Nothobranchius furzeri: one gene and its partners. The protein of the gene in region 2 purifies or fractionates together with the protein of the main gene of each other region. This does not show direct contact. Links are inferred from orthologs where the notes say so. Each region holds a gene or a part of one and is shown on either strand. Other genes may lie near its edges. The genes, in order: lrrk2, bag5 and dnajb4.

The links.
Region 1: the proteins of bag5 (region 2) and lrrk2 purify together in Homo sapiens (co-immunoprecipitation; 3 studies listed by BioGRID and IntAct, with this or other methods). This does not show direct contact. The link is inferred for Nothobranchius furzeri from reciprocal best matches to the Homo sapiens genes BAG5 and LRRK2.
Region 3: the proteins of bag5 (region 2) and dnajb4 purify together in Homo sapiens (affinity purification with mass spectrometry; 4 studies listed by BioGRID and IntAct, with this or other methods). This does not show direct contact. The link is inferred for Nothobranchius furzeri from reciprocal best matches to the Homo sapiens genes BAG5 and DNAJB4.

Annotation. Positions count from the first base shown.
Region 1 is NC_091744.1:48,416,994-48,428,153, forward strand, and holds the start of lrrk2 (leucine-rich repeat serine/threonine-protein kinase 2), read left to right. Parts: upstream 1-5,700; 5' UTR 5,701-6,138; coding exon 6,139-6,274; intron 6,275-10,630; coding exon 10,631-10,716; intron 10,717-11,025; coding exon 11,026-11,135; intron 11,136-11,160. UniProt on the Homo sapiens protein: Serine/threonine-protein kinase which phosphorylates a broad range of proteins involved in multiple processes such as neuronal plasticity, innate immunity, autophagy, and vesicle trafficking.
Region 2 is NC_091758.1:10,649,663-10,660,822, forward strand, and holds the start of bag5 (BAG family molecular chaperone regulator 5), read left to right. Parts: upstream 1-6,427; 5' UTR 6,428-6,461; intron 6,462-6,659; 5' UTR 6,660-6,749; coding exon 6,750-6,802; intron 6,803-8,868; exon of another isoform or gene 8,869-9,004; intron 9,005-11,160. Other genes in the region: coa8 (cytochrome c oxidase assembly factor 8), read right to left, coding at 5,156-5,276, 5,494-5,584, 5,707-5,770, 6,230-6,427. UniProt on the Homo sapiens protein: Co-chaperone for HSP/HSP70 proteins. It functions as a nucleotide-exchange factor promoting the release of ADP from HSP70, thereby activating HSP70-mediated protein refolding.
Region 3 is NC_091751.1:41,965,424-41,975,463, forward strand, and holds the end of dnajb4 (dnaJ homolog subfamily B member 4), read left to right. Parts: intron 1-6,454; coding exon 6,455-7,035; intron 7,036-8,663; coding exon 8,664-8,894; 3' UTR 8,895-8,965; downstream 8,966-10,040. UniProt on the Homo sapiens protein: Probable chaperone. Stimulates ATP hydrolysis and the folding of unfolded proteins mediated by HSPA1A/B (in vitro).

The DNA of each region.
Region 1 (11,160 bases), on a different chromosome or scaffold from region 2:
TTTTTATGCTAATTAGCTTCCCCGTTCCGTTATCCGCTTTCAACCCTGTTGCTGCGCTCCATTTCAATCAGGCTGTACAGCAGGATTTCCCCTCGTAGCGATATTTTCCATAACTCTGATTGCTTCATGCTATAGATCATTGGAAAGCTGCTTTTATGTTCTTTTAGGAACAGTTGGAATTTTTTTAATCTGATCAGCCTTTCAAAAGTTATAAAACGGAGCATTTTGGATGACAAACTCAGCACGTCTGAATCTGTGCTGTGATTCGTTGCGCTCAAGACAGGGAATCCCGGTGGCTACCGTAATGTATTGTATATGCACGAAAAGCCCCATTTTTAATCTTTTCAGCACTTTTGGAATTTTAATATCTTGAACGGTTCAGGAATTATGGTAATGAGAAGTGCACATGTCCAATCCCGTCTGCGGCAACAGGTTGGTAATAAGAATATTGTGGCATTAACAGAGGGGTGCCGGCGGTCAGGGCTAGGGGGCCCCCCAACAGAAGGGGGCCCCAGGCGGCCGCCTACCTATGCCTATGGTAAAACCGCCTCTGCCCTTATGAAAGAGTCCTAAGTTGAGAGGTAAATATTAGAAGTGCAGGTAATGCATGGTGCCGGTCCACTTAACGCACGGTTGTGGACTACATATTGATGAAAAACAAATGAAAATTAAATTGTGAGTTTTCACTTTATGCTTTAGAAATAAAAATGACGGGGGAAAACTTTTTAAACTAACTTTTCTAGCGTGACCTGCCTGCTTCTTCACTTAAGTCACTGCTTATCAAGGCCCGTCCAAAATGGCCGTGGCCCACCCAAAAATGAAAACCTGGCGCTGCACCTGTTATAAACCTCTGGAAATTGTTGTTCTTCACTTCATCAAACTCAGACTTTGTACAGCTAATGTCAAGATGCAAAACTAAGAATTCGGTCGAGCCCCCCGATCCTGCAGACGTCTGTTACGTTCTGCACGCGGCCATGTTTGCAAAAGGATCGCCGCAGCAGGGTCTGGGGGCGGAACCCACCATAAATCATAACCTAAGCGCAAGTTTATCCCACATTTATTAGGATCTCTGACAAGAGCTCAGTATCGATGTTAAATCCGCAAACATGTGAGCCCCCCACCCCCACCCATTTTTTTATTTCTATAAAAAAGTTAAAAATATCAAATCTTTGTCATATTTGACTAATTTTATTCTTCTATAATCCACTGAACAATTAAACTAACATTTCTGATTCTATGTAGGCCGTCTGCCCAACTCCAGTCACTGTCATTGTTTTTCCAAAAACAGGAAGTAAACTAAAGTTGCTTGGACTTCTAACAACTAACATTTAGTGTCTCTGTACTAAATAAAGGATAACTTAAATCCGCCTACCTCAGAAATATAACAGTTGAAAAGTCTTGCAACAGAGCGTGTCTTCTTCACCAAACAGGAAGCCTCTTTAGGATCATGTGATCCTGCTGCCCAGCAAGTGAGGAACACACCCCTGTCGGGGCAGGTCCACCGTAATTTCTCTTGTAGTTGCGCCTGTAAAAATTGCAGGAGGGCTTCCTTGAAATGCAATTACCCTGACCGTGCGCCATCCCGCGGGAGAGGGTGCTCGCTGCAGACCTACAAAGGCGGAGCTGCACCATAAGGTGGAGCTGCACCAGAGTCAGCCCCGCCCATTCACGCAAACTCAGTCTAGCCCACTGACTTCCGTTTTTGTTTTTCCAACTTTATCGCAAACTAACCTGACCCACATGAATTACGGCTGTTACTAGTTTACAGTCGTTAATGCTATGTTCTATGCTTCAATTAAACAAGATAAATATAACTTGCTACATGACAAAGCCTGAATATATCTCGAAATGAAAAGGTTTCTTTTAACGAATATCTACCCACAGCCGCTCCAAGAAAAGTGTTGTACAACAGCATCTGTCATTTACGTACGTGCTCTGGTAGTCCAGTGGTGAGATCGTTTAACTTAAGTTTTGCTTTCCCCTCAGCTGGTGCTGGTTCGATTCTCGGTGAGGTCGGCAACAATCCATTTAGCCAGCTGAAACATTTTAATTTGTTTATATTTTAGTTGTAATGTTTATTTTCAGCAAAATATTTATGTCTCTAAAAGTTCTTTGAATTTGGTCGTTCCTAAACAGTATTTTAGTTGAAACTCTGCTCACAAATGGACTCACACTGGCTAAATAAACAAATAAATAAATAAACACATTAGTCATTATATGTTAAACGGTATACCAGTAAATTGTTGTAAACATAGTACTGGCAAGTGTAGCTAGAAATGAGGAAAAGGGGTTGTAAGCTACCTAATATTTCTGCTAGTGGGAGGCGAACCTGCGCAAAACTGCATGTCAACTTGACTCTATAACCACTACACCACCACATCTTAAAAAAAGCCTAGTGGCGTTATATTTAATTGTCCTATCCAGTGTGTCTTTGTAGATGGTATGTATGGTTTTTCCGGCGGTGTCTCAGAAGAAGTCATTTAAGAAATAATTTGTCAGAAAATTCACAGAATATCCAGATTTGAGAACCAAGACCAGACCCTCTTCGGGGGAGGAGACCAAATTGAAGCTGAGATGGGAAGAAATGCATGAATGAGGCCAAAAATGGCTTTGGCGTGTTTCTTATGAGGAAATGACAATATAACATGATTAAAAGTTCCAAAAGTTTGATTTTTAATTATATGGAACCTTTACAAAAACTGTTCAATTAACTTCTCAACTCCGTCCTCAATTTTTTAGCTATAACACCCTCTTTGGTTCCAGAATGCTATCAAGTCTGACAACTAGAAGGAATTGGACTGACTCTTATGGAATGGGCGGGGCTGATTCTGGAATGGGCGGGGCTGACTCTGGTGCAGCTCCACCTTCTGGTGCAGCTCCGCCTTTGTGGTTCTGCAGCGAGCACCATTTGGGTCCCGCGGTGGCTAATCCTTTTTTGGCAACCAGTCGATTTATGGCACAACGCCGGCAGTCAAATAAGGTCCTGGTCCAACACCTTGGTCTTGTTGGTTAACACACATCAGTGGCGCCCCCAAGAGGTGGCCATGGCCACTCCTGGAAAATTCCCATGGCTAAGGGATGACAGGTGCCAAAAGGACAACTTAATCTAGCACATAAATAAGTAAACAAACAAACAAACAAATCTGAACACAAACTGAATATAAGTCAAAAGTAGAACAAAATCAGAGAATAACACATGCAAAGCATCAATTCTATAAGGATAAAGTGAGTAGGCCCTTGTGTTAAAACTGTTAGCAATTAAAGTCCAGTAAAGGCATACTGAGCAACTTTTTCATATTTTAAATCCTTTTCTTGTACCAGTATGTGCTAAAATGACCCTTTACAGGATTAATGAAAAGTCACGACACCCTCCACCCCTTGTGAGCAGGACACCCCGTTTGCAGCTTCAGCCTACAGACTGCTGCTCTGAAGTCTCACAAAGTCGAATGTAAAGGGAAAAAAAGAATAAGAAAAGGCAATCACGGGATCCTGAGAAAGACAGAAATGGTAGAAACAGCAGCCTGAAGAGAAGCCAGTGAGGAAGAAGAGGATGAACAGAAGGTCACACCAAAAGCGGCACAAAAGGGAAAGGGTGGTGATGAAGGTCACCAAAGCCAGCCGGAACAGATGAGTTTTCAGCTGCTTTTTAACCCTCCAACTGTCTTTATGGGTGACCCTGCAAGAAAAGTTGACCATTGAGCAGGGTTGAAGGTTTATCCCTTGAGGTCCACGTGGCAGGGGTGAGGTGGTGCTCACTCCTCACCCCTGCCACATGGATCCAAGGGATAAACCATCAACCCTGCTCAATGGTCAACTTTCCTCGCGGGGTCACACCCATTAGGACAGTGGGAGGGTTAAAGGAGACCACTGAGTCCACTGATCTCAGGCTCAGGGGGAGAGAGGTCCACAGTCTGGGGGCCACAGCAGCAAATGATCTGTCACCTTTGGTCTTTAGCCTGGTGCTGCACAACCAGTAGGCTTTGATCACTGGACCTCAGGGACCTGCTGGGGGTGTAGGGACTAAGAAGATCACCAATGTAAGATGGTGCTTGTCCATGTAAGGCCCTATAGACCAGAACCAGGATCTTGAAATGAACCCAGAAGTTGACTGGCAGCCAGTGAAGCTGGAGGAGAAGTGGGGTGATGTGGGTGTGTTTGGAGGACTTGGTCAGAAGCCAAGCACAGGCGTTCTGAACCAACTGTAGACGGTTCAGACACGTGAAAAGGGAGTTGCAGTGGGCTAAGTGTGAGGAGATGAATGGTGGATAACAGTCTCAAGTTCAGAATGTGATTCAGCTTAGCAAAGTTCTGAGATGTCTGGTTTTCGTCCAGGTCACAGTACAGAAACTGCACTTGTAAAAATCACCAATGAACTTCTTCCTGCAGCTGATCCTGGTTTACTCTCCATCCTCCTTGATTTGAGCTCAGCCTTCAATACCATCTCACATTCTATTCTTCTATATAGGCTCGCATGCATTGGTATTTCCCATAACTTACTAAACTTTTTCCACTCTTATCTTTCTGACCATTTTCTGTTCATGGAACTCAATCCCTTCAGATCTGCCCCCTCCCCAGTTACTAGAGGCGTGCCCCAGGGCTCTGTCCTGGGGCCCATTATGTCCATTATTTACCTTCCTTTGCTAGGTCACACATTCCAGAAATTTAACATTCAGTTCCACTGCTTTGTGGACACCCTACTTCTCACCTTCAGAGCTGTTCACAATTGAAGGTGCTGAAAACACGATCGAGCGCACAGCGGGGAGATAAGTTTCAGTTTAGCTTTTACGACAATGAATTAAAAAGGACTCTTGGGGGTGCTAAAAGCAAATAAAAACTGCATAGTTTCCCTTGAATGGTTCTGAAAGAGTAACAGTTTCAGTATGAACATCATCCTCAACATCCACCTAATACATTGTTTATGTATTTTGATTATTAAAAGTTTCTTTTTTGTATATAAAACCTAAACATGTAGTTACTCATGATTGAACAAGTCAGAAAATGAATGAAAATCTGGAAGTTTCCTCATTCTAATTCTAGCCTATATGTTAATATGAAATCTGAGTATCCTAAATAATTTGGATTAGTTAGGGGAAATTGTCTTTTTATTGTGGGATTATGACAAAATTGTGGAACACTTCTTTGGATTTTACTACATTTATTGGTATAGCGTTTAGCTAATTCTGTTATTTATGCTGATATATTTATTTGGTTTAATTTTCACTGTTTTACATCCGAAAATAATTCCTTGATTGATTGATTGATTGATCAACTAATTTGATGTCTTTGGACACTGATTTTTGTTATTGTTTTACGCATTTATTACTTAAAATAAACAAAAACGTCTCTGTTTTTACAGTTTTCATCAGTTCATTTATTGATTGGTTTTTATTTATTTATTTTTAGATGTCGTCCTTACGTAACTTTTGGGCATTCCATTATGCCATTTAAATACCGTAACAATGGGCATAAATGTGCAACACAAAATCAAAAGACGGCAGATATTTTTTCAGTGATTTAATAATTGTAACTAAACTTATGTAACATGTAATAGGATGTTACAAGTATATTTACAAATGCTATCCAAGGAAAAATAATGGAATTTCCTGCACAAACATACGATGGGAGATCTTATTAAGGCGTTACGGCGCAAATCAGTGCTGCTTTAGTGGGGCTCTCTCTCTCTCCTAGGTTTATGCAGAAGGTTTACACATCACTCAGAAACGTTACAGTCTCCAGCAGGAACCATACACGCTTGTGTCGCTGCGTCTCCCGTTTCCCCCCTCCTTCATGTCCGGGAAGTTGTTTTAACTCGAGTCATATGATTTGATCTCAGCGAAGCAGAAACACGCCTGCTAACAGAAACAGTGGTCCTTCCCACAGGAAAGAAACAGAAAAACTACGACTCGACGAAGAGGAGCAGACTTTTTTAAGCTGTTAGCTGAAGGGAAGTTAAGCCAAGATGGTGCAGCGTGGGGACCGACACTCACCAACGACAGCCTCGCCTGTAGCGGCTGTGCCATGCTGCTAATGCGTAATATTGGTGCCATTAACAAACAGAAGCACCGCGGGAAGCTGTCGGGTCTGATGAGGGCTGTGCGCTTTTGACGCACGCACGTCAGCCAGCTGGAAATCTTCACCATGGAGAACAAGGAGGAGTTGGAGGAGAAGCTGAAGAAACTTTTGGTGCGACTGAAAAATCCCAAAGAGGACAGCCAGCTGAGCAATCTGATCCAAATCCTCCAGGATCTGCTTTCCCTGGCGCACAGCGCGCACGGTAGGAAGTTCATTGTTTCTGCACCAGGCTGCTGGCAACCCACAGGACTAAGGGCCGTGCTGCAGCACTGATGGACTCCTGTGCCCTCTCCTTAACATGGGCCCTTTTGTGTACAGCACATGAAACACGTTTCACTCCCTTTAGCATCAAATCCTGCACAAGTTAGTTATTTGTGTGTTTAAATGTACCAGCTCTAAAAGGTGTGAAGGAATGCTGCCAAAGATCTAACTAAAACGCCACACTTTGGTGGATAACCATAATCAATGGAAATGTTAAGCCTGCTCCCAGTTGCTCATCTTGGTCGCCATGGTAACCACACATCAGTGAGTCTCTCCTTGAAGGCGAACATGAGGAGAGTCAGAAAGAATATTTTCTAACCGCGAGAAAGTATTCTTAAACTGTGAGTAGCAGAAGTTTACAGTTTGATGTTTTTGCATTGTATTGCTAGTTTGACTAGCTCTAGTTTTTGAGCTAAAGTAAAAACTGGTTTATGGACGCTTGGGTATGCTAGTGCTCTCTGAGAGGATTTGAGATAAAACTGTAAGTCCTACATCAGAATGGGACTCGGAGACAGACGTGTCTGTTTCATGTCATTTGTTTTTGTGCTTGTTTGCAAAAGACATAAAAGCTTTAGGCTGTTGGAGACTTTGTTTGGCATCATGAACAGTTTATTGTTTCATTGAAGAAACTCCAAAGTCATTAAGCAAATGTGGTGAAATTGTGTTTCTACTGTGACATCTACCTGAGCTGTGGAGCTCCAAAGGGGCGGGGCTTGTCTCCGGTCTCACCAAAATCCCACAAGCAAAAGTCTCAAAGGTTTCAAATTTAGTTTGCATCCGACAGTCAAAGCGAGCTATTCTCAGCTGACTTGTGTTCATTTGCATGTCTTTTTAAAGCTGTGGTGTTTAAAAAAGGACTAAAGTCCCGATAGCGTCAAGAACAGGACTAACTCTGGTCTCAGCACCTTTAATACAGAAAAGCAGCAGAAAGCAATGCTCTTAAAGGTAGTTTTACCTCTCTGTTCAATAAATCAGCTTTATTTATTAGAGTCAGTTCTTATTGAATAGTTTCTAATCAGAGTGTGTGGTTAGATTCATTTATTCATTCAAAATATACTCATAGATGTCTATGATTGCAATAAACCTTTCTTACGTGTCCTATTCACGTGTTCTATTCACGTGTTCTTACATGTTCTTACGTGTTCTATTCACGTGTTCTATTTACATTTTCTTTTCACTTGTTCTTACGTGTTCTATTCACGTGATCTTATGTGATCTATTCACGTGTTCTATTCATGTGTTCTTACGTGTTCTTACATGTTCTTACGTGTTCTATTCACATGTTCTTATGTGTTATATTCACGTGTTCTATTCACGTGTTGTTACGTGTTCTGTTCCCGTGTTCTATTCACGTGTTCCTATGTGTTCTATTCATGTGTTCTTACGTGTTCTATTCACGTGTTCTTACGTGTTCTATTCCCGTGTTCTTATGTGTTCTATTCACGTGTTCTTACGTGTTCTATTCACGTGTTCTTACTTGTTCTATTCACATATTCTTATGTGTTCTATTCACGTGTTCTATTCACGTGTTCTTACGTGTTCTATTCACGTGTTCTTACATGTTCTTACGTGTTCTATTCACGTGTTCTTACGTGTTCTATTCACGTGTTCTATTCACGTGTTCTTACATGTTCTTACGTGTTCTATTCACGTGTTCTTACATTTTCTTACATGTTCTTACGTGTTCTATTCACGTGTTCTTACATGTTCTATTCACTTGTTCTATTCATGTGTTCTTACGTGTTCTATTCACATATTCTTATGTGTTCTATTCACATGTTCTATTCACGTGTTCTTACATGTTCTATTCACGTGTTCTTACATGTTCTTACGTGTTCTATTCACGTGTTCTATTTACATTTTCTTTTCACTTGTTCTTACGTGTTCTATTCACGTGATCTTATGTGATCTATTCACGTGTTCTATTCATGTGTTCTTACGTGTTCTTACATGTTCTTACGTGTTCTATTCACATGTTCTTATGTGTTATATTCACCTGTTCTATTCACGTGTTGTTACGTGTTCTGTTCCCGTGTTCTATTCACGTGTTCCTATGTGTTCTATTCATGTGTTCTTACGTGTTCTATTCACGTGTTCTTACGTGTTCTATTCCCGTGTTCTTATGTGTTCTATTCCCGTGTTCTTACGTGTTCTATTCACGTGTTCTTACTTGTTCTATTCACATATTCTTATGTGTTCTATTCACGTGTTCTATTCACGTGTTCTTACGTGTTCTATTCACGTGTTCTTACATGTTCTTACGTGTTCTATTCACGTGTTCTTACGTGTTCTATTCACGTGTTCTATTCACGTGTTCTTACATGTTCTTACGTGTTCTATTCACGTGTTCTTACGTTTTCTTACATGTTCTTACGTGTTCTATTCACGTGTTCTTACATGTTCTATTCACTTGTTCTATTCATGTGTTCTTATGTGTTCTATTCACATATTCTTATGTGTTCTATTCACATGTTCTATTCACGTGTTCTTACGTGTTCTATTCACGTGTTCTTACATGTTCTTACGTGTTCTATTCACGTGTTCTTACGTGTTCTATTCACGTGTTCTATTCATGTGTTCTTACATGTTCTTACGTGTTCTATTCACGTGTTCTATGCACGTGTTCTTACATTTTCTTACATGTTCTTACGTGTTCTATTCACGTGTTCTTACATGTTCTATTCACTTGTTCTATTCATGTGTTCTTACGTGTTCTATTCACGTGTTCTTACGTGTTCTATTCATCTATTCACGTGTTCTTACGTGTTCTATTCACGTGTTCTATTCATGTGTTCTTATGTGTTCTATTCACGTGTTCTATTCACGTGTTCTTATGTGTTCTATTCACGTGTTCTTACGTGTTCTATTCACGTGTTCTATTCACGTGTTCTATTCCCGTGTTCTATTCACGTGTTCTTACGTGTTCTATTCACATGTTCTTACGTGTTCTATTCACGTGTTCTATTCCCGTGTTCTATTCAGGTGTTCTTACGTGTTCTATTCACGTGTTCTTACGTGTTCTACTCACGTGTTCTATTCACGTGTTCTTACGTGTTCTATTCACGTGTTCTTACGTGTTCTATTCACGTGTTCTTACGTGTTCTATTCACGTGTTCTTACGTGTTCTATTCACATGTTCTATTCACGTGTTCTTATGTGTTCTATTCACGTGTCCTATTCCCATGTTCTATTCACGTGTTCTTACGTGTTCTATTCACGTGTTCTTACATGTTCTTACGTGTTCTATTCATGTGTTCTTACGTGTTCTATTCACATGTTCTATTCACGTGTTCTTACATGTTCTTACGTGTTCTATTCACGTGTTCTATTCACGTGTTCTTACGTTTTCTTACATGTTCTTACATGTTCTATTCACGTGTTCTTACATGGTCTATTCACTTGTTCTATTCATGTGTTCTTACGTGTTCTATTCACGTGTTCTTACGTGTTCTATTTATCTATTCACTTGTTCTTACGTGTTCTATTCACGTTTTCTATTCATGTGTTCTTATGTGTTCTATTCACGTGTTCTTACGTGTTCTATTCACGTGTTCTTACGTGTTCTATTCACGTGTTCTATTCCCGTGTTCTATTCACGTGTTCTTACGTGTTCTATTTACGTGTTCTTACGTGTTCTATTCACGTGTTCTATTCACGTGTTCTATTCACGTGTTCTTACGTGTTCTATTCACGTGTTCTATTCCCGTGTTCTATTCACGTGTTCTTACGTGTTCTATTCACATGTTCTTACGTGTTCTACTCACGTGTTCTATTCACGTGTTCTTACGTGTTCTATTCACGTGTTCTTATGTGTTCTATTCACGTGTTCTTACGTGTTCCATTCACCTGTTCTTACGTGTTCTATTCACATGTTATATTCACGTGTTCTTATGTGTTCTATTCACATGTTCTTACATGTTCTATTCACGTGTTCTTACGTTTTCTATTCACATGTTATATTCACGTGTTCTTATGTGTTCTATTCACGTGTTCTATTCCCGTGTTCTATTCACGTGTACTTACGTGTTCCATTCACGTGTTCTTACATGTTCTATTCACGTGTTCTTACGTGTTCTATTCACGTGTTCTATTCACGTGTTCTATTCCCGTGTTCTATTTACGTGTTCTTACGTGTTCTATTCACGTGTTCTTACATGTTCTATTCACGTGTTCTTTTCATGAGTTCTATTCACGTGTTCTTAGGTGTTCTATTCACGTGTGTTTTCATGGCCATTTAAAACAAAAATAGGTGCTCCGGTTTATCACATGTTGTCTCTTTTGCTGATCTTTGTTGCAGCAGCTGAGCTGTTTGAGGACAAGAACGTTCACCTTCCCCTCGTGACGGTGCTGTCATCTTACATCAGCAGCAAAGGAGTCCAGCAGGTAATCTGCCCCCCCCCCCCCTTACAGGAGGAGGTTGTTCGTGCTTAATGTGGTTAAAAAGTAACCGCCAGTGGCCCGTCCACCCGATCCACCGTGTTTATGACGTCTTGTGACTGTAATGCGTTCTGGCTTATGAGAAGTTTACAGCATGTTAAAACTGAAAGCCACATTATGGGATGGAATATGTGTTCAGACAGGAATGACTGCTCTCAACATGCCTCTAGAATGTGTTTCATCTGATTCTGCTCTCATTACGTGTCAGTTTGATTGTTATTGTTCAAATCAAACGTGAGGTTTTTGTTTGGACAGGAGGGCTGGTTGCTGCTGTGTAAGCTGATTGAAATATGTCCCAGAACGCTGGAGCATCTCAGCCAACCTCTGGAGGCAGCCGTGGACTGGGAGATCCTGGCAGTGCACCAGTAAGTGAAGACTGGTTGGTCTGGT
Region 2 (11,160 bases):
CTCTCGGATGAGAGGTGAACGTCTTCAAGCAACTCAAAGAAGTCCAGACGCTTTTCTTTCAAAGCTCATTAGACTACAATGACCTGGATGACTGAGAACCTTCACAGACATATGATGGTAGTCATCTTCCCCAGCATCCTCCTTTCACATGTCTCCTTAGCTGAATCCATTGGGCAGCTCAGAACCGAGCTAGTTTTGTTAAGCTTGTTCAGTCTCTTCCTGTCGCGGTCAGAGCTGCCTGCACCCCAACAGACCACGGCAAAGTGGATAACAGAGCCAACAACAGAGTGATAAAAGGATTTTAGCAGATGGGAATTAACTCTGAAGGACCTCAGCCTCCTCAGGAGGTTGAGGCGGCTTTGGCTCTTCTTATACAGGATCTGTGTTGTTGGACCAGTTCAGTTTACTGTTGAGGTGATCACCCAGGTACTTAAAGGTATCCAGCACCTCAATGTCTCCTTGGATGTTTACTTGTGAGTAGGGCTGCAACAACGATAAATTCGATGAAAATCGATTACTAAAAGCGTTGGCAACGAATTAAGTCATCGATTCGTTGTGTCGCACAACTCTTCCAGACCAGCGCAAGTCAGATCAGCGCGAGGGAGAGCCGGCAGATCAGCGCGAGGGAGAGCCGGTACCGGCAGATCAGCGCTAGGGAGAGCCGGTACCGGCAGATCAGCGCGAGGGAGAGCCGGCAGATCAGCGCGAGGGAGAGCCGGTACCGGCAGATCAGCGCTAGGGAGAGCCGGTACCGGCAGATCAGCGCGAGGGAGAGCCGGCAGATCAGCGCGAGGGAGAGCCGGTACCGGCAGATCAGCGCTAGGGAGAGCCGGTACCGGCAGATCAGCGCGAGGGAGAGCCGGCAGACTTGCGCTGCTGCGAACCGGTTCCGCCCAAGGCCGGATTAACTGGGCAATTGCCCAGGGCCCACGAACTCTAAAGGGCCCAGGGCACGAGCAAAATACTGTATCTATAATTTCCCGCTTTATGAGGACTATGGTGACCGTACGTTCCGTTTTCCCCGGACATGTCCACTTTTCATTCTCTGTCCGGGCGTCCGGACTGCGGGCTCTTGTATTGATGAAAATGTCCGGCTTTTCATCCAGGAGCAGGGATCGAATTATGGGGGAGCTGTATATCCTACACATCAGGGGAACCGGAAAAAAGTTTTCTATAGTATATCATTTATATCATTTTTGGACTCTTTTGAGCAGAGAGCGGCACAGCGCGTTGTTGCGCAGCGATCCAGGCAGCTGCTTCCAGCGCACGGTCCATTCTCAAAGTGGCGCAACCAAAAAACTATAATTAGCACACGATCGTTCATGTCCGCACATGTTCTCCATTTTCTGTCTTATTTGTGCCTGAAGCGCGCTACTGCGGAGCTCATCACCTGTGCTGTGGTGATGTCACCTCACGCAGCATCGAAAATGCGCTCTGAGCTTTGCGGTCAGGAGATCCTTTGATCTGTTCAAAAGTAACTGATGAGGTGAAAAGGTAAGAATCCAGGCAACAGATTTTCTGGACAATTAAGAGGAGATGCAGGAAGATGAGAGACAGAAAGGACAGGAAAATAGTTAAATAAAAACAAGAAAACAAATCAAAGTGTTGAAAAGTAAAATGTAGGTAGATTTATCTCCATTACACGTTTTTACCTGTAAAAAACATAATTATACATCTTATACAATTCAGATCACCTTCAAAACTCAGTCACACACCCAGGGCCGTTTCAAGACAATTTGGGGGCCAAGGCAAAATGCCCCCCCCCCCCCCATAACTGGGCTCCCCAGAAGCCTCTGTGTAGTTCATGCCCTCTCCAGTAGTGTTAGTTATACAGTGTTTATAAAAGCCCCTCAGACATTACTGACATGTTCTAATATTATCAGATGAAAAACTAAATTATCAGACATGATGTCTCATCTGCTGCTTTTCTAAACTTGCTAAAAGTAACAAAACCGTGTGAAAGCCACTATTAGTGGATTCTCTGAAAGTTTCCATGGAGTGTGGGACAACTTATTTTTTCATTGACCCTATCGTCTAATCTCACAGCTGAAACAAGCATCCTAATAATCTGTGCACAGGAAGCTTACCGATGCTGTAGTAAAACAAAAGGTATAGTAATTTATTATTAATAAAACCTTGTTGCAGCACTAAAGCAGAAAAATGAGATTTTGCATTAAATATGCAAAATATTTACATATGAATTGTTTTAGAGCCCTTTTATTGGCAGAATCTGATATTAATTTAGTTCTTACAAAAAATGGGTCCCAACATGGTTTGTGTGGCGTTGCCATAGTGTGACGTCATAGGCACAGATCCCCTGTCCTCTTGTTTGGAAATGGAAATATGATCACCCTACATTAAACAAACTGTCCACCCGGGCTTTTGCGCTGCACAGAGACGCTTCGCTGCCTACGACTGAACGTCAGTTGAGAGTCAGTCTCATGCAGACTGACCAATGAAGAGAGGGCCTCAAGTTAAGACCCTCTCCTCATTGGTCAGTCCACACGAGGTGGGTCAAAGGTTACTCTGAGCGGGTTACGTGTTGTCAGGCATTCAAGTATTGAGTATATTTACTGCATATTACAGTAAAATATTCTGTATGTGACCACATTATGGTGATCCTCGGGTCGTGATGATGGAGCCCTTGAATATTGTTGCCCAGGGTACAACAAAGTGTTAATCTGGCCCTGGTTCCGCCGTCACATTCCCGCAGAAACTGGTTGATCACACCGGGGCCAGACTACTAGCATGTGGCTTTACAACCACAATGTCCTCAGAAGCAAAAACGCTTTTAAAAGGGAGGGAGGAGTCCTAACTGTTGCTGCAGGCGTGTTGTGTGAGAGTGCAGTTATATACTGGTTAATATATTTTTGGGTTCAGTTGCTTTCATGTGGCCTAATGTGAGTCTATTTGGGATCATTGGCATGATCAGCAGCATTTCTTGATGTGACTTTATGGCAGTTGCCCAGGGCATCATCACAAGGAGAATGGCATTCATTTACTTTTGTTTTATTTGGTATTTTTTCAGTCATTTTTGGAAATAGTGATCAATTTTGATTAATTCACAGCCTATGTTTAATTACATTTAAAAATTAGTTGTTTGACATCCCCAGTTATAATAAATGTCAACAGATGAGATCAAACAAAACAGATGACAATTGCCCTTAAGCTGTTTAACTTGGACCAAGCATTTTAGGTCACAGATAGATGTAGCTTATAGGGTCTCTGTCTATACACCTTATAAGACAATTTAGGTGATGGCATGTTGTTTTTCTGCTATTGAACTGTTTTCTAATAATGTTGTGTTAAATAAAGTGAAGGAAGGAGAGAAATAACGTTTCCCTAGCAGTTTTTAAAAATTTCCCCATGTAATCCGATTAATCGATTAATCATGTCGAGACCCCATCCGATTAATCGATTATCCAAATAATCGTTTGTTGCAGCCCTACTTGTGAGTGAGGAGTGATTCTCTGGAGGTCAATCACCATTTCCTTTGTCCTACTGGTGTTCATGCGAAGGTGGTTACGCTCACACCAGTCCACAAAGTTCATGATGACTGACCTGCACTCCTGGTCATTCCCCTCAGACACACAGCCAACAATGGCCGAGTCATCAGAGAACTTCTGGAGGTGACAGCTGCTGGTGTTGTAGGTGAAGACCGACTTGTAGGAGGGGAATAGAAAGGGAGAGAGCACTGAACCCTGAGGAGCTCCAATACTGCACACAACCACCTCAGATGTACAGTTGTGCAGCATCACATACCATGGGCTGTTGGTGCGGTAGTTGATGATTCATGCAGTCAGATGTTTGTACACTCCTGCACCCCTCATCTTCTGCTGCAGTAGACAGATGGATGGTGTTCAATGAATTGAGAAGTCAAAGAACACGATTCTCACACTGGTTGTTTTACATCTCGAGGCGAGTCAGAGCCTGGTGCTGCAGGTAGATGAATGCGTCCTCCACCCCCATGTTTGGTTTATATGCAAATTGCAGTGGGTCTATATCCAGGCTCACCACCGAGCGTAGATGGGTGAGGATGAGCCTCTTCATCATTGACACGTCCCCCCCCCCCCCCCCCCATTTTTCCAAAGTAAATTTCTGTCCCCTGCACTTTTGCATTCCGCTATATTAAACAGACACTAGTTAGCATTAGGACCAAGAGGAAAACAACCGCTTGTGTTGAAGCGTCCAGAAGCTCATCTATTGGCTCTGCTGACACTAAGTAACGTGTGATTGGCTGTTCCTGCCACCTGTGTACTTGACAGTTCTGCAGTCCCAACATTGCATACAGCCTCTAGGCTGTAGTTTTACACTTACTGTAAAAATCCTGACATCCCCCCCCCCCCCCCCCCCGGTTGTGTCCCCCCCACTTCTAGTGGGCGACGGTGGCACTGGAGTTAAGTGCTCGCCCCATAAGCGGAAGGTTGCAGGTTCGAGCCCCACTGTCTGTCGCTGTGTCCTTGGGCAAGACACTTAACCCACCTTGCCTGCTGGTGGTGGTCGGAGGGACCAGTGGCGCCTGTGCTCAGCAGCCTCGATTCTGTCAGTGCGCCCCAGGGCAGCTGTGGCTACATCGTAGCTCATCACCATCAGTGTGTGAATGTGTGTGTGAATGGGTGAATGACTGATTGTGTTGTAAAGCACCTTGGGGGGTTCCAGGACTCTAGAAAGTGCTATATCAAATACAGGTCATTTACCATTTACCATTAGTCCTCATCAGTTGTGGGGCCAAGGCGACTGGTCTGGTTGTCGGGGATTAAAGCATCATTATGAATCTGAAGCGGGTCAAAGTCTGAGTCAAACTATTTATTTTGGTTTTTGCACCAAAAAACACCCTTAAAATTAAACAAATAAAACATTTTTATTTATGAGAAAGCAGCTGTCTAACTCATGCATTCCTGTTATAGTGCACATAAACAAATGAGACCTTCATGAATTTATAAATGTTATTGTGCTCACATCTGCTCAAGCACTCTAAGCAGCAGGAGCCCTGCACGCTTCTGTGTTTTAAATGACAAAAGCATTCAGAACCTTACGTGATGTCCCTGAAACTTCTCTGTACATTTCTTAAATAGTCACTCATAAATACCTCAAACTTTGTAGTTGCAGGTCTAGACAGCAGCTAAAATTAATGAAACTGAACAGGATGATGCGGTCAGGTGTTCGGAGAGCTTTTGTTCTTCCTGTGGTGCCTCTCGGTAAAAGTCCTCCACATGCTGGTGACAGCGACTCGGGCCATGAGCACCGTGATGCTGAAGTTACGTCGGTACCACTCCCTGGATTGGGGAGGAGACAGCAAATAATAAATACGATGAAGCTTGATGATGCTGTGGAGGTTTTTCCTGGGCTTTAACTAATAAAGCCTGAACACAAACAACACTGACAATAAACGTCCAAAGTGTCCGGCTCACGCAGCAGCTCGTTATGAGAAAAGCTCCACAGAGGTGTGCGTGGGGGGGGGGGGGAACGACACCCGACGCAAAAACAACTCACCTGTTATAATTTGCATGTCGGAGCTTGTTTTGGTCCAAAAAGCTTTTGTAAAACAGAGCCATCTCTTCGCTGTTCAGGGACCGCCGTCTTCCTGAGCGGAGCAAACCGACACAAAGTGGATTTCATTCAGCATTTTCACAGTCCTGACTCCATTTTCAGTTTCATTTCGTTGTTGTGTAAAAAACACCAGAACATATGTATGAGAAGCCTCACCGTCTTCGTCACGCAGAGTCAAACCTTTGGCCTTCAGATGCGAAATGATGAAAGCTTCTTTTTCCTGCAGAGACTATATCAATCAGTTGTGTTTTTGGAAAAGTCTGTCTATTCAAATGAATCCAAAGGCAAGTTTATAACGCGGTCGCACTGATATTACATCTTTGCCTAATCAAATTCAAGCACGTTCGGGCTTAGATTTAGGATTGTGCAGCCAGATTTGATTTACATACATGCTCAAAACAGTTCTTTGTCTCATCAAGGAAATAAGACTGTTCGACGTCTGCTATAATTTCAAGCACCTGTAAAAATCCTGCAAGCTGGAAGCACAAGTCATGTTACACTTCCCTAATATGAACACGTGACCTCGTACGGCAGGTGACCGTAGCCTCCTAAGGACACTGTACCATACCTGATACCATCGACTCATTTCACTCCAAAGAAAACTTTCCAAAGGATTTTCTCCATTGAGCTTTGCTGCCACCTGCTGGTGACAACAAAGAATTGTAAGCAGCATTTTAACCTTGCTAAAGCTGATGTTCTGCTTGGTCCAAAACTCATGGTTCCAGTCTTCCGTCTCCTGCCTCAGCATCCTCAGCCGCTTCTCCAGATCGGATTCCTTCTCGGGGATGTGGTACACGATGGGACGCAGATTGGACAGAGGGTTCGGTGGACCGATCCAGTCATGTGTGGAGCTGGGCTTGGGCCTGAAGGTGGACCGCTGCATTTCAAAAACAAAATACAAAACTGTGAAGGTAAATTAATGTCAGTCTGGGACCAACACGGTAATTAGACGTGTTCCAGCCAAGCTGCTGCAGCTAGCCACTAGGAGGCTATTTAGGGTGTCTGTTTCTGTCTCCTACCATGAAAAAGTAGGGTGGTGTGGAAACTGTCTACTAATCCTGAGACAAGTAAAGGCTTAAACACATTTATCTGTGCTTTAACTGTTGAAGAGCTGGTCCTGTCCACAGATGAACGTCACAGAGCTGAACTGAGTCAACGCCACACGACAGCGAGCTTATCAGAACCAAACAGGCATCACGATGAAAGCAGCAAGGAGAAAAACACGATCCCAGACCCAGAGACCAACGCAACGGTACGGAAAAAACAGATAATTGTCAGAAATATTCTAGACATTTTAAATACTGTGAATACTATGATGCTCTGGGACATTACTTAGGAAAAAATAGAATAGTAAAAAGGACACAAAAACAGAAATGTGCATCTGGGTATGGTACTGAATGTACTGATGTTAGCATACAGGTCGTTCTCAAAAAATTAGCATATTGTGATGAAGTTCATTATTGTCAGTAATGTACTGATAAACATTAGACTTCCATATATTTTAGATTCATCACACACAACGGAAGTAGTTCAAGCCTTTTATTGTTTCTAATATTGATGATTTTGGCGTACAGCTCATGAAAACCCAAAATTCATATCTCAAAAAATTTGCATATTTCATCCGACCAATAAAAGAAAAGTGTTTTTAATACAAAAAAGTCAACCTTGAAATAATTATGTTCAGTTATGCACTTAATACTTGGTCGGGAATCCCAATGCGGCGTGGCATGGAGGCAATCAGCCTGTGGCACTGCTGAGGTGTTATGGAGGCCCAAGATGCTTCGATAGCGGTCTTAAGCTCATCCAGAGTGTTGGGTCTTGCGTCTCTCAACTTTCTCTTCACAATATCCCACAGGTTCTCTACGGGGTTCAGGTCAGGAGAGTTGGCAGGCCAATTGAGCACAGTAACACCATGGTCAGTAAACCATTTACCAGTGGTTTTGGCACTGTGAGCAGGTGCCAGGTCGTGCTGAAAAATGAAATCTTCATCTCCATAAAGCTTTTCAGCAGATGGAAGCATGAAGTGCTCCAAAATCTCCTGATAGCTATTTGCATTGACCCTGCCCTTGATAAAACACAGTGGACCAACACCAGCAGCTGACATGGCACCCCAGACCATCACTGACTGTGGGTACTTGACACTGGACTTCAGACATTTTGGCATTTCCCTCTGCCCAGTTTTCCTCCAGACTCTGGCACCTTGAGTTCTGAATGACACGCAAAATTTGCTTTCATTCGACAAAAGTACTTTGGACCACTGAGCAACAGTCCAGTGCTGCTTCTCTGTAGCCCAGGTCAGGCGCTTCTGCCGCTGTTTCTGGTTCAGAAGTGGCTTGACCTGGGGAATGCGGCACCTGTAGCCCATTTCCTGCACACGCCTGTACACGGTGGCTACGGACGTTTCTACTCCAGACTCAGTCCACTGCTTCCGCAGGTCCCCCAAGGTCTGGAATCGGTCCTTCTCCACAATCATCCTCAGGGTCCGGTCACCTCTTCTCGTTGTGCAGCGTTTTCTGTCACACTTTTTCCTTCCCACAGACTTCCCACTGAGGTGCCTTGATACAGTACTCTGGGAACAGCCTCTTCGTTCTGAAATTTCTTTCTGTGTCATACCCTCTTGCTTGAGGGTGTCAATGATGGCCTTCTGGACAGGAGTCAGGTCGGCAGTCTTACCCATGATTGTGGTTTTGAGTAATGAAGCAGGCTGGGAGTTTTTAAAAGCCTCAGGAATCTTTTGCAGGTGTTTAGAGTTAATTAGTTGATTCAGATGATTAGGTTAATAGCTCGTTTAGAGAACCTTTTCATGATATGCTAATTTTTTGAGATAGGAATTTTGGGTTTTCATGAGCTGTATGCCAAGATCATCAATATTATAGACAATAAAAGGCTTGAACTACTTCAGTTGTGTGTAATGAATCTAATATATATGAAAGTCTAATGTTTATCAGTACATTACTGACAATAATGAACTTTATCACAATATGCAAATTTTTTGACAAATGTTTGCATGTAAATAAATTCTCTCAAAATTTAGATACACGGCTTTTGAATATCGATACAACCATTGCAGGAAAAAATACCACGATATATTGCCATATCGATATTTTCTTACATCCCTAATCGAAATTCTGAATCATTAGATTTGACTGACAGGTACCATGAGCGTCAGAGCCCGTCAGTCAAATCTAATGATTCAGAATTACAATCCCTGGAACTAAAGATGGCTGATTGTCGGATCGGGGCCATATTCACTGAGATCAAAAGCTATTTCAGTTAAAACCATCCTAATAGGTGTGGTTACATTTTAACACAGGGCCTCTCGTTTGATAGTTGCATTACGATTCTTGCATCCATTGAGTTTTTGGAGAGTTTCTGCTTAAGTTTCTTTGCAGGAAGTCAGAATCACCTCCCAGACCTCCTACTTGGATGAGATCTGCCTCTGCAGTCCACAAAGGTTAGAGGATGTTGCAAAAGCTTCCTATAGGGTTGTGGTCATGGGTTAGAGTTAAGGTTATTCTCTCCTTTTTCTGCCCACACTTTGGTTTTTGTGAAATATCGAAGGTTTTCATACCTTACCCAAGGCATTCAACTGTTTCATGCTTTTCAGAGGCAGAGATAGTTTTTCTTGCCAAGCTGGTTGAAAATGGAAAATCCTTTTCAGTAGTTTCTCCTTAATTGGGCTCACCTGGTACATCTCATCAGGTGTCTGAGACCAGAGACACCATCTAGAGTTTAAGTAAAAGCAAAAAGTCTGTCTCCTAAATAAAATGTGCCTGTAGTGTGGAACACGTTGTGTTGAGGTTCTGGGGGAGTTCTGGTCCATTCCGCTGTTCCGGTTCATTGAGGTTTTCAGACATGTGTTCCTGCTGAGTTCTCTTAAAGGGACTTTACAGAGTTTTGAATTTTTATGCTCGTGATTGCCCCCTCAGGCCAAAAGCGTAACGGCAGCTTCAATAGTAGGCTTGTGCACGAGGCGCGCATGCTGTACGTGCACGCTCCTTAACGAAAATACCGTGTGTGTGTGTGTGCGTGCGTTTGTGTGGCCCGGAGGACAGAGTGCAGCTAATTAATTAAATATTTTGTTTCTGTACCTTTCTCTTCAGCACAGCCGACAAAGGTTAATGATGGGTCAGTCCTCCTGCATGCTCAGATCATTCCCTTCCCTTGCTTGAAAAATTGTTCCAAAATGAAAGTTGAACCCACATCTTTTTTATCTGTGAATTCAATGCTGTTCGATGAGTCTCAAATAAAAATGTGGGCATCTTACTGTAAAAAAATATATCATTAATGTAAAAAATAAACTCTAAATGAACTATGTTCACACCCGGAATCAAACCCGGGTCTTCTGCACGAGAGTCAGACATCTTACTAGGTGAACTAAAGCGCCAGTGACTTCCTCAGTATCTGTAACATTTATATCCTTGATGACAGCTAAAACAACGTTCAAAGAACGGTTCGGAGTGAAAATGGCTATTTTGTTGCTAATTTGCAGAAAATATCTAGAAAAAAGTTCTACAGAAAGTAGCTAAGGGTCCTCAGAAATGTAGCTAGGTTCATCACTAGGCGTTAGGAACAGCGACAAAATGGCACTGCCTCTCTCTCTGCTGCTAAAGCTACGGATAGCAAATGCTACGGGCTATGCCTGAGCGTGAACGCGCATGAAGCAGCCTGCTCGACCCGAGCATCTCTCTTTTTCAGTGACTTTACAGAAAAACAGGCAATCACAGTAAAAATGCCAGGGCTCATTCTACAGGACCAGGGCATTGCAGGAGAATGTATGAAGAAGACATTTATTATTTCTATACATGTTTTGGCTGTCAGACTTCCATAATGCCCCTTTAAGGTCCCATCTGAGAATTTTAATCAGGTTCGGGTCTGGACATTATTTCATCACTACAGTTTAGTAGATCTGCTGCTGTCTTTGGATCGTGGTTCTGTTTAGCTTGGTCCAAACCTCACCTGTCAGACCGATGGACTCATGTCTTGAGTCTGGAAGACTTAGGTGACTTTGGAGACTTCATGATGGAGCCAGAACCATCAGCCTCCACATCCATACTGAGAGCTAGTATGAGCTGTGTGGCTTTCTCTCGTCATACTGAGGTGAATTATGGGTAAGCGTCTACACCGATTTTATGTGTCCACACATCAGTGATCCAGAGGTCTTCTGGTTCATTCGGATAAAACTCCTCAAACCTAAGTCAAGCTGTCATGTAGGACAGAAAAGACCATGTCCCACAACCAGTCCAAACAGGAAATGTTTGTGAAGTCATTTCTGGTTTTCTGTCAGGTACTTTAACCTTTAAACTGCTAACTGATGCCCCTGGACTCTGAGATGGAGCTCTTGGAAGTTTATCTGAGCCTTCCCTGATGACCTTCTGATGAACTTCCCAGGATGTCAACTCCTGTCAATAAGTTGGAATAATCTATCTTTCTGGAGAATGGCCGACTCAAAATCGCCTGGAAATGACCTTTAACCCCTCCCAGTGTTTCCCAAGTGCTGCAGATGCATGTTAATCACTCGTCAGTCAGGTGTGTGTGTGGCAGCAGGGAAACAGGTGTTTGACTGGGCCTGAGGGCCACGGGTCTCATATATCAAACATTGCGTAGAAT
Region 3 (10,040 bases), on a different chromosome or scaffold from region 2:
TTTTGTCACACCATGTCCTGTCTCCCCATTCTGTTCAGTCCTGTGTCCATGTTAATTGCTCCCACCTGCCTCTCATCTCCCAATCACCCAAGGTCCCAGCTCCTCCTGTATTTAAACCCTGTTAGTCCATTTTGTCTGGTTGGTTCATTGTTTCATTGTCCTGCGTGTCTCATTAAAACCCTTTACATGTTCCTGTCTGCCTGCCTGCCTCCTTCCTCACCCGCGTTTGGATCCTCACCTCCATTTCACTCACCGGCACGCTTGTGACAGAATGAATCAACCCTGTAAAGGATCCAGCGGGGAGGTTCTTCCTTGGGAGTGTTTGCTCCAGTTTTTAACCGCAGATCACCGGCCGGCTTCTCCTCCTCTGGCCTTGTCTCGCCGCAGACGCCGTCGCTGAACCCCGGCTGCGACGATCCCCTCCGCCCTCCCAGAGCTAGATGTGAGGTTGGACCAGGAGACGCAGCTAGACCGCTCCTGCTACGTGGGCACCAGACTGGCTGTGTGCTCCTCCGGAGCTGGCCCACGGCGTGTGGAAGGATGCCGGGCTCCACCGTCACCCCTGGTCCCAGGACGGAGCCACCAGCTTGCTGCAGCTCCGGCTTGGCAAGCCAGCTTGGACCCGCCCCCAGTCAGACCAGCAGTCCCGTCTCCAGTCCAATCAGTACCTCCATCATCTGCAGGCGGAGGGACCATGCCTACAGCCCAGCTGACAGAGCTCGCCGACCTCCAGGCGGAGCTTGGCTGGATCCGTCAGCTAGTCAGCCTCCAGGAGTTCCAGCTGGACACCCTATCCTCCCCGAATTACCAGGAGGAGGTTCCGGTCCAGTCTGCAGCTCCCTCATCTCTTGGCCAAAGGATCGAACCCGCAGTCCACCCAGCAGAGCTCGTCGGTCTCCGAGCTGAGCTGCCCCAACTCCATCAGAGCCTCAGTCTCCAGGAGCTCCAGCTGGACAATCTATCCTCCCTGCTCTCCCAGTTTCCGGCAACACCAGTTCAATCAGCTCCTGTCCCAGCGGTGGTCCCGGAGGTCGCACCGCATCCAGTTCCAGCGGTGGTCCCGGAGGTCGCACCGCATCCTGTTGCAGCGGTGGTTCCGGTGGGTGCACCACATCCAGTTCCCGTGGTAGTCCCGGAGGTTTTACCGCATCTTGTTCCAGCGGTGGTCCCGGAGGTCGCACCGCATCCGGTCCAGCCTGTCCAAGTGGTCTCGTCTGTAGCAACTCCTCCTCCACTCCAGAAGCCGACGCCCCTGGACCAGAAATCGACGGTCAAGAAGCCGACGGTCCAGAGGCTGACGGTCCAGCAGCCGACGCTCCCGGACCAGAAGTCGACGCCCCCGGACCAGAAGTCGATGGTCCAGAAATCGACGACCCCGGACCAGAAGTCGACGCCTCCGGACCAGAAGTCGATGGAGGTCGACGGCCTTTTCAGTCCTGAAGTCGATGCTCTTTCCAGTCCAGAGGTCGACGCTCTTTTCAGTCCAGAGGTCGAAGCTCTTTTCAGTCCAGAGGTCGATGCTCTTTTCAGTCCAGAGGTCGATGCTCTTTCCAGTCCAGAGGTCGACGCTCTTTCCAGTCCAGAGGTCGACGCTCTTTCCAGTCCAGAGGTCGACGCTCTTTCCTGTCCAGAGGTCGACACTCCTTCGTGTCCAGAGGTCGACGCTCCTTCGTGTCCAGAGGTCGACGCTCCTTCGTGTCCAGAGGTCGACGTTCCTTCGTGTCCAGAGGTCGACGCTCCTTCGTGTCCAGAGGTCGACGCTCCTTCGTGTCCAGAGGTCAACGCTCCTTCGTGTCTAGAGGTCGACGCTCCCTCGTGTCCAGAGGTCGACGCTCCCTCGTGTCCAGAGGTCGGTGTCCCCTCCAGTCCAGAGGTCGACGTCCCCTCCAGTCCAGAGGTCGACATCCCCTCCAGTCCAGAGGTCGACGTCCCCTCCAGTCCAACGTCTCCGCCGTCTCCAGTCCAGTGGTCGACGCCGTCTCCAGTCCCGTGGTTGACGCCGCCGTCTCCAGTCCCGTGGTCGACGCCGCCGCCTCCAACCCAGAGGTCGACGCCGCTGCCTCCAGCCCAGGGGCCGACGCCGACGCCTCCAGCGCAGAGGCCGACGACGACGCCCCCAGCCCTGAGGTCGTCGCCGCCGCCCCCAGCCCTGAGGTCGTCGCTGCCGCCTCCAGGCCAGAAGTCAAAGACGTGTCCTCCGGCGTCTCTGCCTCCAGTCACCGCCAGTCCTGCCCTCACCAGGCGCGGGCCCCCAAGAGCCCGTTGTTGCCTCCTCCTCTGCCACAGACGCAGGCCCCCAAGAGCCCGTCGTCGCCTCCTCCTCTGCCACAGACGCAGGCCTCCAAGAGCCCGTCGTCGCCTCCTCTGCCACAGACGCAGGCCCCCAGTGCCCGTTGTCGCCGCCTCCTCTGCCACAGGCGCAGGTCCCCAAGAGCCCGTCGTTGCCGCCTCCTCTGCCCCAGGCGCAGGCCCCCAAGAGCCTGTCGTCGCCTCCTCTGCCCCAGGCGCAGGCCCCCGGACTCTACTGGTCCCTGCCTCCTCTCCATCGGTCCCTCTCGGCCCTCCCTCCGGGTCCCCCTCCTCCCGCCCTGCTCTATGTTCCTGTGGGTGTCTGGAATCCGCCCTTTTTGGGGGGGTGGGGGGTGGGGGGGTACTGTCACACCCTGTCCTGTCTCCCCATTCTGTTCAGTCCTGTGTCCATGTTAACTGCTCCCACCTGCCTCTCGTCTCCCAATCACCCAAGGTCCCAGCTCCTCCTGTATTTAAACCCTGTTAGTCCATTTTGTCTGGTTGGTTCATTGTTTCATTGTCCTGCGTGTCTCATTAAAACCCTTTAAATGTTCCTGTCTGCCTGCCTGCCTCCTTCCTCACCCGCGTGTGGATCCTCACCTCCATTTCACTCACCGGCACGCTTGTGACATTTTGCCTTTAGTGAACTTTGGTTTGACGTCAGTATTTGCATTCCAGGAACGTTTGATTTCCAAATTAAGCACTGCACGTCACACATAAATTTCACAGTAATATTGAGTATTTGGTTATTGAAAAAGTTGCTTGAGATATTTTCAGAGCCGTCCATTTTTTTCTAATTCACCGTTAGCTTTGTTAGCTTAACGTTAGCCACTAGAGATTCTAGAGCAGGGCTATTCAATTCTGGGCCTCAAGGGTGAATATCCAGCATGTTTTAGTGGTTTCACTAGTCCAACACACACTAGATTAAGTGGTGTGTAGCAGTAGCCTAGCGAACTAGACCAAATTCTTGCTTTACATTTATTTATTCTGGCTTGCCAGGCTAGTGTAGCAGCTCATCAGGCTCTGCAGAAGCCTGTTAGTCACCTGCTGATTGAAATCAGGTGTGTTGAAGCAGAGTTAAAACCAAAACGTGGTGTATTAGAGTAAAACAAAAGAATGCCGTGGCTTCTTAGGGGTACAAGAAAAAACTTCTGGGTCACCCAGGTTTACTGGCTTTTCTTCTTTAAACAGTTCTGAAGCACATTGCCGGACTGTGTCAAATTACAAATGCCGGCGTTGCAGAGTTAAATCAGTGGAGACTTGGCAACCTCACAAACTCACTGACTGTAAACAGTAACTACATCCCGCTTTCTTTCTTTTTTTGAAAAGAGAAAAACTGACAACCCCTCAGCCAGCTGAGAACAAAATCTGTTTCTGTATAACCTTCCTTTGAACATGATTGAGACATTAGACTCTTTTGTGATTTCACTGTGGAATTCTTACGTTTGGCTATGGGAAATAGTCAAGAAATCTTTATTTTCTTTATGATCTCTTCCAAGTGACTATTTGATCAAATTTGTAATAAAGATTATATTTTTCTTTTCCAGCTGGTATAAATGATGTTTGAAGGCCATCTATGATGTTCTGCTGATCTCAAACCTTTGATGATTAAAACCTTCATCAAACAGTTTGAAATGCCCAAAATCACCCAGAGAAAACCAAAATGATGACATTTCAGAGTGAAGTTATTTAAAGCTCTGCTTGGAACTAGCTGTTCTGTTCAACACTGCTCTCCCAAAGCTCCAAATGGAGACTTTGCCACCCATCCAGTGTCATCCCACAGTCTCTCTGCAAGTTTCTCACAAAATAAGCCGGTGACAGCTTTGATGCTTGATGCATTTATACTTGTGTCCTTTACCAGGCTCGGTTTGCTGGGATTCAGCTGTGTCTACTTAATGCAATTTAAAATGAGTAATTTGCTTTAATTTAAAATAAATTATGTTTTTAAACACAGATTTAGTTATTTTTTCCCCAAAACCCGCTATGGTAGTGTCTTCTGCATGTTATCAGGAGTGTAACAAGCTGTCTTCACCACAGGACACCATTAAATCTAGCGTATGTAGTCCTAATTTCATTGCTGTTTGGTGAGACAGGTTCTAGTGAAGCTTTTCCTTTTGGTATCCTGCACCGGTCCCTGTCTTGTCCTTCAACAAGGGATTTGAGAACCATTTGAATTTCCAGCTGGCCCCCCAGTCTCCATACCTCTCATAAATGAGAGACCATTAGTCAGGAGACGAAAACGAAGGCTGAGCCTCATGATTAGAACTGAGACCGGGTCTTTGTGCTCCTCTTTTGTGTGAAAATGTCTAGACATGCTTTGTGATTGAGTGAAAAACAATATATTTATTTTCAACAAGTTTTCTTTTGAGGAAAAAAAAATAGTCTGCAAAATGCCTCAAAGATTGTGATAATAGGTAAAAATATAAAGCTCTAGTTTATGACAACAAAATAACCTCAAACAAAATAACCTTTAATTAGCAGTAACAGCAACAATCTTTATTTTTATCATCAAAAACACATATATATATATTTTCAAACATAATTTTTGGACTTGGGTAAAATGAATTCTGTCCAAAGATTTGACTTGTGTGCAAAATTAGGAAATAATACTTCGGGAAGACTAAATTGTGTAATATTTATGTTTAAAAGCCAATTTTCAAGTTATAAACTAGATTAAAGGTGCAATATGTAAAAAAAACACAGTAAAATAATCATAAACACTATTGTCTAACTCATTTTGGAAGGAAGGTTACACAAACAGATTTCCTTCTCAGTCAGTTGGGGAATTGTCAGTTTTTCTCCTATTGAAAAAGCAAAAAGGGACGTAGTTTTTGTTTACAATCTGTGAGCCTATGGAGTTGCAGAGTCTACCCCGGCAAACGCTGCAGCGCAGGCATTCATAGTTTAATACCAGCAGCAGCGTTTTGTAAAGATCCTAAGCCAGTAAAAAGAAGCAGCCCAGAAGTTATTTCTTGTACCCCTAAAGCCGGGCGTACACTGTGCGACTTTTTCACTTTTTTGAGCCGATTTTCCAGTCGTGCGAGAAGCCACGACATCGGGGCGAGTTTTGCGCCGAGCGGTCGTGTAGTGTACAGGGGGTTACGAGAGGCGATTAACACCACGTGACCAGCCGCCGATCAGCAGTCGTGAGGTCACAGGGACTTCTGGTGTGTTTAATATTTCGCTCGTCCCTCGTGAGGGTATCGCACTGTTGAAGCGGCGCTGCGAGCAGCTGCGAGCAGCTACGATCCAAAAAGTATCAGAACCGCTCACGGCGCATGCGCGCGCAATCCTGCATCAACGCCGGCCGGTCGCTCGCTATTTCCCTAATAACTCACGCTGTTCGTTTTTGTTTCTACACGTTTTTTTTACTCACAAAGATTGTCAAGAAAGCGTGTTTGTCATGTTCATGTCAAATTAAACTGATCACAAAACACAGATTCACTTTCTTTATTTCGTTTTCCTCATCCAACCCCCATAAATCCCTGTGTGTCCTCCTGCAGCACTCCCGAAGGACAACAGGCAAGACAAAAAAGTCTGACGTGTTGAGTAAAAACTGCTATTCTTAGCACATTTTTAGGGCCGACGTGTTGCTACCAGACGTACAGTGTGAGCAGTCAGGTCGCATGCGAGAACTGGGTCGTACAGTTTGAGCACACGACTCGTGAGATCTGCCCTGCGAGGAAGTCGTACAGTTTGAGCTGAAGCTGAACGCTGCGAGTGAAAAAGTCGCACAGTGTACGCCCGGCTTTAGAAGCCACAGCATCCTTTTGTTTTATTCTAATATTGGTTGAAGAAGGCTAGAAGCTAAAGTTAAGCTAATGTTGAGCTAACAAGTTAACGCGACTTTGAAGCAAACAGTCTGCTCTAAAAATAAGCTCAAAGTACTTTTATAATTACTAGCAATTTGAAATTATCTACTGTGTATGACTCGTCGTCTAGAATCTTCTGGTGCTTCTCCATAACTGGCAACATTCATTGAACTCGCACAACGGTAGTGAGATTCATGTGTTTCACATAACACACCTTTAAATATTAAATCTATTCAAATTTAATGGAGTATTAGTAGTAGTATCCTAAAAGTTTGTCTTTTGACCTGAAGGTGCATTAATGTTGTGGTGATTGTTGATGTAGTTACTGACGAGTCTTTTCTGTTGTCCATCAGGTCTTAAGGGGGGAAATGGACCTGCTCCAGATGGACAGGGCCCTACCTTCACCTACACCTTCCACGGAGATCCTCATGCCACCTTTGCCACCTTCTTCGGGGGCTCCAACCCCTTCGAGATGTTCTTCGGGCGTAAAGCGAATGGCAGAGACGACGATGACATGGAGGTGGATGGAAATGACCCCTTTGGCTCCTTTAGTAATTTCAACATGAACGGCTTTCCACGAGAAGGCCACACCGGCCTCGGGGGTCAGCAGCGCCGGAAGCAGGACCCGCCCATCATCCATGATCTGAGGGTCACCCTGGAGGAGGTCTTCCAGGGCTGCACTAAGAAGTTGAAAATCTCTCGCAAAAGGCTGAACCCCGACGGCAGGACCATGCGAACGGAGGATAAGATCCTCACTATTGAGATCAAACGAGGCTGGAAGGAGGGAACCAAGATCACGTTCCCGCGGGAGGGGGACGAGTCGCCCAACGCCATTCCTGCTGACATCGTTTTTGTCATTAAGGACAAACCCCACCCCCACTTTAGGAGAGAAGGCTCTAACATCGTGTATCCTGTTCGTGTTAGTTTGAGACAGGTGAGAGAGCTCCTATTTTAGCCTTTTAACTGATTGTTGTTCTATTAATAGAAGATGACGGAATGATTAGTCAGTTTTAGAACAAGTTCACAACCAGATGAGGGTGCTGCTTTCAGATCTGGTGCTCCAACGCAGTGAAACCTGGTCACGATCAATAAGCTGTTGGTGGTCTGCCCGAAAAGCACAGAAAACACACAGTGATGCTGAATGAGCATCGTTCTGAACTACACACACATTTCAGCTGTTCCCTTATGTAATCTGGACCATCAGAAACAGGATCGCCCACATGCACACGTTGTAAGAAGTGCTTATGTGGTCCCTCCCACCCTCATCAGCTCTCTGTTCTAAATCCCACCGTCTCATTTCCTAATATTAGACCTTTTATGTTCCAGCAGTAGCAGATCAGCTGTGCAGGTGCATGATTCACTCAGCCTATTTTTGTCGTTTTAGTTCTAAATATACATTTACAGTTCTCTTTAAATGAGGAGTATGGGGTTAAAACTGAAATAATGAAATAATTTGACATATTCTGATCATTTCTGCAGCAAAAAGGTAAATGAAATAATTTCCTTAGAGTGATAATGTGTAGTTTTTGCCATTAATCTCTGGAAATATCCATCGAAATGTTGTTGAAAATGAATTAAAATGATGCCCAGTTGTTGGCAGCTATACCAAAAAAATCTGGTCTAAAATACATGGGAGCGGGTCTAAGTCTCTGGGCGACGCCATATTAGACGCCATGTTTCCTTCTACGGCGCCCGTGAGAACAAAACTCATTTATTGATTTGTAACATAACATTTACGAAACTTTGGCCATTCATAAAAGTTGTTGTTTTACACATTTACCTCTTCCCTCGTTGCCAGTGATGAAAGGGAGTGATGTGATGTCATTTTGCTGAAGGTTGCGCTCCCAGGGATTTTTGACCCTAATGGGTATCCATTGGTAAGGTCTTTACACAAAAATACCTCTCCTTGCAATGATTTAGGTATGCACTGCCCCCTATCGCCAGGGAAAATTCACACTGTCACTGTTAAAGCCCAAATCCAACATCTTTGAACTTGTATATTTTCGTAATATCAACATTTGGGCATTTATGTCTATAAATTCTGTTTAGAAGGTGGATTTGAATGAATCACTTGCCAGTGACAAGTTTTCTACAAATCAGAGCGTCTGCTAATCAAACAACAACAAAAATCATCACTTCTGAGATGCCAGATCTGAAATCGGTACAGTTTTTGTTCCAGCTTGGTGTAAATCTTTATCGTTTTTTACAATTGCAGCTAATTTGAAGGATTTTTGTAAGGAAGTAAAAGCTTCACAAATAAATAAATAAACAAACAAATAAATAAACAAACAAACAAATAAACAAATAAATAAAATGTTGCTGCGAGAAGTCTTCTGTAGAAGTCAAACTAAATCACGCAAGAATACTTCTTGCTTTTTTCGTCTTCTTGTTAACCTGAGTGTTCATTTTGGATTCACAGCTTTGGAAGTGTCACTCACTGAACTAAAACAGGTTTTGCATGTGGAATCAAAAGGAAATATGAAAGGAAAGATGCTGATTTAGATGTTGTGGGTCTCAGTCTCCCGCTAGTTCTCACTAACACCTTCATTCTCATCTCTGCAGTCTTTGTGCGGATGCTCGGTCACCGTGTCGTCGATAGACGGGAAGACCTCCAACATGAAAATCACAGATGTCATCAAGCCTGGCATGAGGAGAATTGTAGCTGGACAAGGTCTCCCCCTCCCCAAGAACCCAGAGCAGAGAGGAGACCTGGTGGTGGAGTTTGACGTGAACTTTCCTGAAACGTTGCCTGGCAACGCTAAGGATGTGCTGAAACGGCACTTGCCTACATAGGACAAAAGGACAAGGACCGACCTAGAGGGGAGCACGGCGTGACGACCCCCCCCCCCCCCCCCCATCCATTAGGAACACTTTAACTCAAGGATGGTTCTGACATTTCCCAACTGATGAATGTGCAATTTCTATTTTTGAGCTGTTTGTATTTGCATGCTGCCAAACTGGTAATAGGTGCAAGTGAAAGACTGCTTGTGCTTGGACTGCTATGTGAAACTGACTTTTCCAGTCAAAGTTTTCTTTTGGTTAAATGCAATCTTTTTGGCTGTGAAAGGATTTGCCAAATAAATTTTCAGCGACAAACTGTTGATCTCTGAAGCAACGGTTTCTAAACTGTCATTTATGACTATTTTAGTTAGTTTTGAATCAGAGGCTCTCTTACTGTTTGTGGGCAGAGGAACTAAGGAAAGTTAAAGTGTATTTTGGACAATTACCCGTTGACACTTGAATTTTAAAATGCATGTTTTCCTATGAAGTCATCTGAAAAATAACTCAGACATTCAAAGAATCCTTCGTCATGAAGTAAACCAGTGTATAAAACACGATTGTTTAAGGAGAATGCTCATTTGCTTAGAAATATTTGTAGTCTGTGTAGCAACACTGCAAAAAAAAAAAAAGGTTCTTTATAGCCCAGGAAACTGAATCTATATTTTAAAAGTCTGATGTGAATATTTAGTTGTTGTAAATTACAGTATATAGTTACATTTTTGATGTATAGAAATTAATAATAATAAAACAAAATACTGTAAGTGAGTTTGATTTTAAGTCACTGGTTGTGAAGATATGAGTGGAAATGTATACAAGCACCTTTCCCACCAGGGGGCGCTACTTTACCCAATCATAAATGTAATATAGGCATGTGTGTGTATTATCTATCTACATACATACATATATGTGTATATGTTTATGTATGTATGTATGTGTGTATATATATATATATATATATATATATATATATATATATATATATATATATATATATATATATGTGTGTGTATGTATGTATGTATTATCCTTGTGTGATGAAGGTGTGTGTAACTGCTGAGTCACAACCATGCAGTGCAGGTGGAGTGTAAACACACCTGCTCAGTGAGGGAGGTTTTCAGCTGGTAATCCTCTAACAGTTACTGCCACCAACCAAACAGA